Linked DNA regions of Canis lupus familiaris. Each later gene encodes a partner of the first gene's protein in a complex. Links are inferred from orthologs where the notes say so. Each region holds a gene or a part of one and is shown on either strand. Other genes may lie near its edges.

Region 1 (3,644 bases):
TGACAGAGCATCCTGACCCGAACAATGAAAATATCGTTGGCTATAATAACAAGAAGTGCTGGCCCCGAGATGCGCGCATGCGCCTCATGAAACATGATGTCAACTTGTGAGTCTTAAATGGGGGCTGTAGGAAGCTGTGGGAGCTGGAAGGTTACCAGCCTGAGGGACGCAGAGCATAGAGGGGATTTATGAAGTTGTGTCCTGGGCGGGAGGAGCATACTCTCCTAGGGTATTGTGAGTCTGGCAGTCTGAGGGAAGTTCCCTTCAAGTCCCGGGAGACTGAAGTGACCATATGTTCTCTGTGAGCAGGGGTCGGGCAGTGTTCTGGGACATCAAGAACCGTCTGCCACGGTCAGTGACTACAGTTCAGTGGGAGAACAGTTTCGTGTCTGTGTACAGTAAGGATAACCCCAACCTGCTGTTCAACATGTGTGGCTTTGAGTGCCGCATCCTACCTAAATGCCGCACCAGCTATGAGGAATTCACCCACAAGGATGGGGTGTGGAACCTGCAGAATGAGGTACAGTCTGGGAAGGGGGCTAGGAGCAGCAGTATCATCCCTGTTCCTCTGGGGTACATGGGGGTGAGGACACCATCATAACTTTTCATTATCAGTTAATTTGAGCCTTATTGAATAGGTAGAGTTTAGTTTGGGGTGGGGGGGGGTGTCAGAGTTGGTCCTTGCTTCTGTGGCAGTATCAGACATAAATTTCACCTTGACCATGTGGTTTAGGTTACTAAAGAGCGGACAGCTCAGTGTTTCCTGCGTGTGGATGATGAGTCAATGCAGCGCTTCCACAACCGTGTGCGTCAAATTCTGATGGCCTCTGGCTCTACTACCTTCACCAAGGTATATAAGGCAGTCAACCCCAACCTCCCTCATGTCTTCTATCTCCTATGCCTTTCAGCTCTTCTCTTGATTTGCTCTTGTTTTTTCCCAGGCTTGCTCAGTGTACTAGTTTCCATACCTTATGGTATAGAAGCTTATAACGTCAAAACAGTTCAGGTACTTTCTGAGAATACTCTGTAGGGAATGTGCAGTGTAGTTCTATGTAATTGTGGTGATTCTAAGGTAAGAATAGAAGTTGAATTTTTAACCTGAACAAAAGTTTTCAGTTTTTGCATTTTCCCAGAGTTTATTATTTATTTATATAGCTCATCTTTGACCAATAACACTGTGCATATTAAAAAGCAAGTATGACTAGCTATCTCAGTGATTATTTTTCCCTTCAGTTACTTCCAAAGGCCCAGCTGAAGGCAACTGGAATTGAGAAAGAATAATCTGGGGATTTGTTAACTGTATACTTAAGTGTCTGCAAGGTTTAAAAAGTCACCTTACTCTTCCTGCTGTCTTTCCATGCTTCCATAGTGGTGCATATAATGTCTTGGCTGACGCTTTCAAGTGTCTCAGTAATGCAAAAAGAGAAGGAAATGCCAGGTTCTTATTAGGCTGTGCCCCAAACAATGCTTGTGTTAAGGATACATTTTCTTTTTTTTTTTTTTTTTTTTAAGTTTTATGTTTTTAAGTAATCTCTACACCCAACATGCGGCTCAAACTTACAACCGCAAAATCAAGAATCACATGCTTTTCTGACGAGCCTTCCAGGTGCCCATTATCTTAGTATTTCTTACTTAAAATTTCTCACTTCCCGGGGGTGGAGAATGGTACAAGAGAAAAGTTTATCTTTTGGGGTTGGTTTATTCCCTCTAAGGATCAAATAAGAATTATATAATTCATTCATCCTATTGGTGTTTGTTGGTAAACTACTGTGTTCAAGGCTGTGCACATACTACGTGTAAGATAGAGTCTCTGCCTTTGTTGAGCTGGCCTAACCTAGGTGAAGAGACGGATCCATGGACAAGAACTAGGATGTAGTGTTCATAGAGGCTGTGGTATTTGGGAATCTATGAGGAGACTCAGGTTAATGACCCTAGCCCAGTCTGGGAGAGGGTGATGAAAGGCTTCCTGAAAAAAGTGAGGTGATGAGGCAGGTGAAGGCATTTCTTCAGCCCTGGAGAGGTAACTAGCATGATACAAAATTCACGGTTTTATTAGAGTACAGTTGTGGAGTTGGAACTGATAAGAGATGGAGATTGGATAGATGAGCTAGAGCCAGACAATGGAGGCCATTGCATGCCTTGTTAACAGTCCTGTGAGGGTGTTAGGTGTGCAAGTGACTTTTCCAGATTTCTTTTTTTTTTTTTAATTTAAAAAAAAATTTTTTTTTATTTATTTATGATAGTCACAGAGAGAGAGAGAGAGAGGCAGAGACACAGGCAGAGGGAGAAGCAGGCTCCATGCACTGGGAGCCCGATGTGGGATTCGATCCCGGGTCTCCAGGATCGCGCCCTGGGCCAAAGGCAGGCGCCAAACCGCTGTGCCACCCAGGGATCCCGACTTTTCCAGATTTCTGTTATATGATTCACTCTTGCAGCTGTGGAGAGGATGGATTTAGAGGAATCGGGTGGGAGATCAGGTTTGGGGACTTTTTTTTTTTTTTTTTTTTAAGATTTTCTTCATTTATTCATGAGAGACAGAGAGGCAGAGACATAGGCATCCCAGGTTTGGGGACTTCTGAAGTCCCAATGACAGTGGTGGGAGCAGTGAGACAGGAGCAGATTTGATAAGTAGTTAGGTAAAATCAGCAAAGCCTCATTTTGGTGGGAAAGGGAAAGAACAGTTTCTGGCGTGGCTGACTAGCTGGGTATTGGCACTACCAACTGGAAGAGTACAGGAGGAAGAGCAGGTTTAGGAGAGAAGGTAAATGGATTTAGTGTAGGATGTAACAAGGTTAAGGTTCCTGAGAACATCCAGATGGAGGTGTTTGGCAGGCATTTATTATATCCTATTTTTTTTTATTCCATGATAAATATGGGGGGGGGTGTATGTGTGTGTGTCCCCTTAGTAATGTTTCTTAAATTCGTGGTCTCTTAGATTTGCTGAAAAATACTTCGAGCTTGAAGCTTTTGAGGGAGAAATGAAATGAGAAAGTGAGAGCAGTCAGGGGTAACTTCGAGGCTCCTATAGGATGATCAAGTGGAGCTTGGCGTCTGAAGCTTGGAGAAGATACCTGGTTTGAAGATGTAGGTGTAGCAGTCTGTCAGCGTGGAGGTGGTTTAAAGCTCCAGAGTGAAAAAAAAAAAAAAAAAAAAAGCTCCAGAGTGAGCAAGATTACCCAGGTCAAGTGTAAGGAATGAGAAGAGCAGAGGGATGAATTTGGAACCATACGAAACAGCAGCATGGCCAGGCTGGGAGAGTGCCGGGTTCTCAAAGCCAAGGACGTCAGGAATTGGGGTGGGCATTTAACAGTGTCAGTTGCCTAAGAGTGTTTTAGTTAGATAAGGCCTGAAAGGTATCCATTGGATTTGGCAGTCAGGACGTCATTAGTGACCTTAGCAAGAGCTGTTTCAGAAATAGTGGGGATAGAAGCCAGATTGCAGTGGGTGAGGCTTTATGGGAAGTGAGAGAGTGGAGACAGCAAGGACTGGCAACTTGCCAGAGCTGGAGTAAGAGGAAGGAGGAAATTAGATGCCACCTAGAGGGAGTTATAAGTCAAGGCAGTATTTTTAAATGGGATTGACTTGATGTTCCCATCATGATGGAGCCAGGAGCCGTTGAAGGTGCAGCAGACCTTTGTGGTAAG
Region 2 (4,077 bases), on another chromosome or scaffold:
GGAGGGGAAGCGTCCCAAGCCGCCCAACCACAGAGGCCTCCCACACGCGCTGGAAGCCGAGGGGCGGCTCTCATCTGGATGCAACCAGACCTGACACACTTTCAGAGACATCCCTCCTGCTGTGCCGCCCATGGACTGGGGGGTGTGTGAGACGCAAGTGGCCACCGGAGGCTACAGGAGAGAGATGGGGACCTGCGGCGGGCAGCTCAAGGTTAATGGGACACCACTCCCTGAGCTGCATCACCCAGGGAACCGGGGAGGGAGGACCTGCAAATACAAAGTGCGCTTAGGAGGATGTCCACCCCCCGGCTGGCAGCAGGCCCCCCGCTGGCCCGGAGACCTCTGACCCCAGCTGCCCGAGGAGGAGCACGCTGCAGCTGTCACCCCATGAGCATCACCGCCGAGTCCTCACTGACGTCTTCCTTTTGCAGATGAGCAACTGACGCCCGAAGCTGGGGCCTCCCTTGCCCAAGGTCACGCAACAGAACACGGGGCGGCGGTTGGACCCCACTCGGGACGCGGGCTCTCGGCCGCTCCCTGTGGGGAACCGGGGGCCACGCCGGACGGCTTACCGCAACCACGCGGGTGGGCGCTAACCTCGCGCGGAAGGGGAAACTGAGGCTGGGGGCCAGGCGGGGGGCGTCCCCGGCGGCGGCCGGGGGCCTCGGGACGGAGCAGGGCCTGGGGAGCCGGGGGGCCTCCCGGACTTCAGACCCAGGCGCAACTGGGCGACGCTGCGGCTGGGGAGGGCTCCGGGGGGGGCCGGCCCGCAAGGTCACGGCCCGGCTCCCGGCCCGCGGGCCACCGCGCGGGGGGCGAGCAGACCCGAGGCTGGCCCCCAGGCCAGGCCGGGCGGGGCTCCCGCGGGGCGCGGGGCCCGGGGCGGAGGGACCGGGCGCCGCAGCCGGCGGGGCCGGCGGGGCCGACGCAGCCTCACCTGGGTCGCGAGGAGCAGGAAGGCCGCCGCGAGCCGCGCCAGCGCCGCCGCCGCCGCCATGTCAGCCGGGTCGAGCCGCAGGCGTCGGCAGATGTTTCCCAGCAACGCCCCGGCGCGCCCCGCCGCGCCTGCGCCGTGTGCGCTCCGCGCCTGCGCACGGGGGCGGGGTCAAAGGGCGCGCGGCGGCGCCTGCGCAGAGCGGCGCGCGGCGGCAAGATGGCGGTGAGCGCGCGGCGGGGCCGGCTGGGCGGGCGGCGTGGGACCCGGCCGCGCTCTGCGCCTCACGCGCTCTGCTTCCCCCGCAGGACAAAGAGAAGAAGAAAAAAGAGAGCATCTTGGACTTGTCGAAGTACATCGACAAGACGATTCGGGTGAAGTTTCAGGGAGGCCGCGAAGGTGAGAGCCCCCCGCCGCCCGCCGCCCGCCCCGCCGCCCGCTCCCCGTCGACGGCTCCGGGAGGCGAGCAGGGTGGCGGATGCCCGGGCGCAGGCCGGAGCGCTTTGCTGGGAGGACTCGCGACGGCCTCCGTCCGACGCCGTGCACGCGGGGAAACTGAGGCACGGGAGGAGCTGCAGACACCCCGAAGCGGCCGAGGCGCAGGCGGGGTCCTCGCTCCGAGGCAGCCGCCCCCGCTGGTCCCCGCTGGTCACTGACCCCCGCCCCGGCTCCTTGGGCTCCGCACTCGTGACCCTGACGCCAGCCAGATTGTTCGGGGCTGTCGGGGCGCTGGGGGGAGGGGAGCAGCCAACCCCCGGATGCCGCCAGATGCCAGGACATGCCTTAGCTTGGGCACCCCAACCAGGCATCTCCCTTGCCGAGCCGCGGCCCGGTGTCAAGGATGGTCCAGAGGGGCCTGTTAAACACAGGTGGGCCCTCCTCTGGGCCGCCCGGTCCCTCCCGGGGAAGGGGCAGCCTTGCGGAGCTCTCAGCTGCCACCAGGCTGTGACGTGCACCCGCCTGCTGGGCTCTTACCAGGCTTAAAACACAAGGCTTCTCTGGGTGAATGAATTTCAAAGATCTCGGGAGCTTTCTCCCACTATTCACGAGCCAGGGAGCACCCCACCTAGGAGACGGCGCAGAGCCCCAGAGGGTTTCGTAGGCAGAGGGTGCAGGAGCAGACGCTGGATCGCTTCCGGCAGGGTCCCCCTCCTCTGGGGGATGCTGGGGGTTCTTTCAGGAAGACTAGCTCGGGAGGGCTGACCTGGAAGTTCCAGGCTGACTGGTGGAGATTGCATTCCTGGGAGAGCTGCAGGTGCGGCCAGGTTAGGTATGAGGCCGCGGTGGGGTGGCCGGGGCTTGGCACGAGTGACGCCGTTGGGAGTCTCTCTTTCTAACTCCAGGTTAACTCCACAGTCATTTTTCTGCTCTCAGCTCAGGATTCTTGTTCCAGGAAGCCTTCCCTGATCCTCCACCCTGGGCCCCACGCCTTTGGTGTCAGCTCCTGGTACCGTCTGTCACCGTTCCCCGCTTTACGCAGTAAACACGACACCGACCTCTGCATCTTTCCCCTGGAATAGTGAGGAGGGCAGGAGCTGGGCCCAGTGTTGCTGGTGCGTGTAGGCAGTGTGGCCTCTGGGGTCCTAGCACCAGGCAGCTGGAGTCAGAGCCACAGCTCTTTGGCGCACTGGCTGTGGGACTTCGGGCAGCTCACCCCGCCCCCCAGGGCTCCATTTCTTCACTCCCCCCACCTCACCGGGCGGTGGTGAGGATCACAGGGTTGGAGGCACCTTCGATGTGGTTTCTGACACAAGCAAGCACTTGAGCAACATTTCATTTCTTCAGCTGCCTCTTTGCTTTCGTTGTGTTTCATGAGACAGTGACCCAGATCCTTTCTCCCGGAGATGTGGACGATTGGGTAGCATCGGCGTGGTTAACAGCGCGGTGCCTGCAAGTCTAGGTAGCCAGCAGTGGTGAGAACTTGAACCCGAACAGATGTTTGCTCTGTCTGCGCCGTGCTGGCTCTGGGACCCGTGAAGGAGACACAGCTCTCGTTTCTCAGGGTGCTCATATGGGTTTTCTACGCTGTGTAGCAAGTTGCCACCACGTTAGCAGCTTACGCAACATGAATTTATTATCTTGTGGTGTTTGTCAGGAGGAGTCTGGGTGCCTTGGGCTCAGGGGCTCAGGTTGCACTAAAGGAGTGTCTCAGACGCCCTGTTGGTTGTGGGCAGGGTTTGGTCCCCTGCGAGGGTCCTACCCCTGTAGGACCAGGGTCCCCGAGCTCTGCTACAGGTGTCCTAGAGGCTGCCCGCCGGCCCTGGCCACAGCACTGTCCACAGCATGGCAGTTTGCTCCCTCAAGGCCAGTGGGAAGATCCCTCTCATGCTTTGAATTTTTTGACACAGTTCCTGTTCCCCTGAGCTCATCTGATTAGGTCAGGCCGGCCGAGCAGAATCTCTTTAGGTGAGCTGAGAGGGCACTGATTCTGGGACCGTAATCACACGTGCCCGTTCCTTCGTCTTTATCCTCCTGTAACCTAATGGCAGGAGTGGCATCCCGTCCTATTCACAGGTTCCCTCCCACACTTGAGGGGAGGGGTTCCACTGGGTGGTCACCGGGGTCAGCCCCATTTTAGAACTCTGCTCGTGCCCCACGGAGGAGGGCAGACCCGCAGGTGCGGCCACAGTGCCCGCTGCCCATAAGCTCGTCGGGGAAGTGTCCTCGGGACCTTTGTCTTGCGGGCGGAGGGGAGGTCAGTCGGGGAGAGAGGAAGGCACAGAGCCAGGCGATCTCGGTCACGGCTGGAGGCGTGAAGGCGCCCTGAGCCGGTGAAGCTGCTCACAGGAGCGCAGCAGGCCGGGTTGGGCCCCCACGCCGTGGTGCGCAGAGCTGTCGGTCCCGTCCAGCCCCGTACTCCCCGCAGACACTACAGCAGCGCGGTGGAGCGTGGTGGGGGCACCCCTGCTTCGCCAGCTGTGCCTGGGCCGGGAGGCCTGAAGGCCGGAGGGGCAGGGCTTTGGGGCGCGTCCCTCTGGCCGTGTAGGCGCCGCTCCTCTGCGCATGCGCGCCACTGCTGGTTTCCGTATGGCTCGTGAGCTGAGAACGGTTTTTACGATTTCAAATATCTGAGAAACTGAAGCCATAATTGCACGTTTGTGTATCCAAGTGTCTGCAAGTCGCCTGGCTGCCCCCCTCCCCCA

Evidence for each region.
Region 2: PRPF8 (region 1) and LSM7 share a complex: the UniProt entries of both Homo sapiens proteins name them as parts of the U4/U6-U5 tri-snRNP complex. The link is inferred for Canis lupus familiaris from reciprocal best matches to the Homo sapiens genes PRPF8 and LSM7.

Annotation. Positions count from the first base shown.
Region 1 is NC_049230.1:45,759,780-45,763,423, reverse strand, and holds part of PRPF8 (pre-mRNA-processing-splicing factor 8), read left to right. Parts: coding exon 1-106; intron 107-309; coding exon 310-520; intron 521-733; coding exon 734-850; intron 851-3,644. UniProt on the Homo sapiens protein: Plays a role in pre-mRNA splicing as core component of precatalytic, catalytic and postcatalytic spliceosomal complexes, both of the predominant U2-type spliceosome and the minor U12-type spliceosome.
Region 2 is NC_049241.1:57,200,381-57,204,457, forward strand, and holds the start of LSM7 (U6 snRNA-associated Sm-like protein LSm7), read left to right. Parts: upstream 1-1,143; 5' UTR 1,144-1,153; coding exon 1,154-1,159; intron 1,160-1,242; coding exon 1,243-1,333; intron 1,334-4,077. Other genes in the region: SPPL2B (signal peptide peptidase-like 2B), read right to left, coding at 938-997. UniProt on the Homo sapiens protein: Plays a role in pre-mRNA splicing as component of the U4/U6-U5 tri-snRNP complex that is involved in spliceosome assembly, and as component of the precatalytic spliceosome (spliceosome B complex).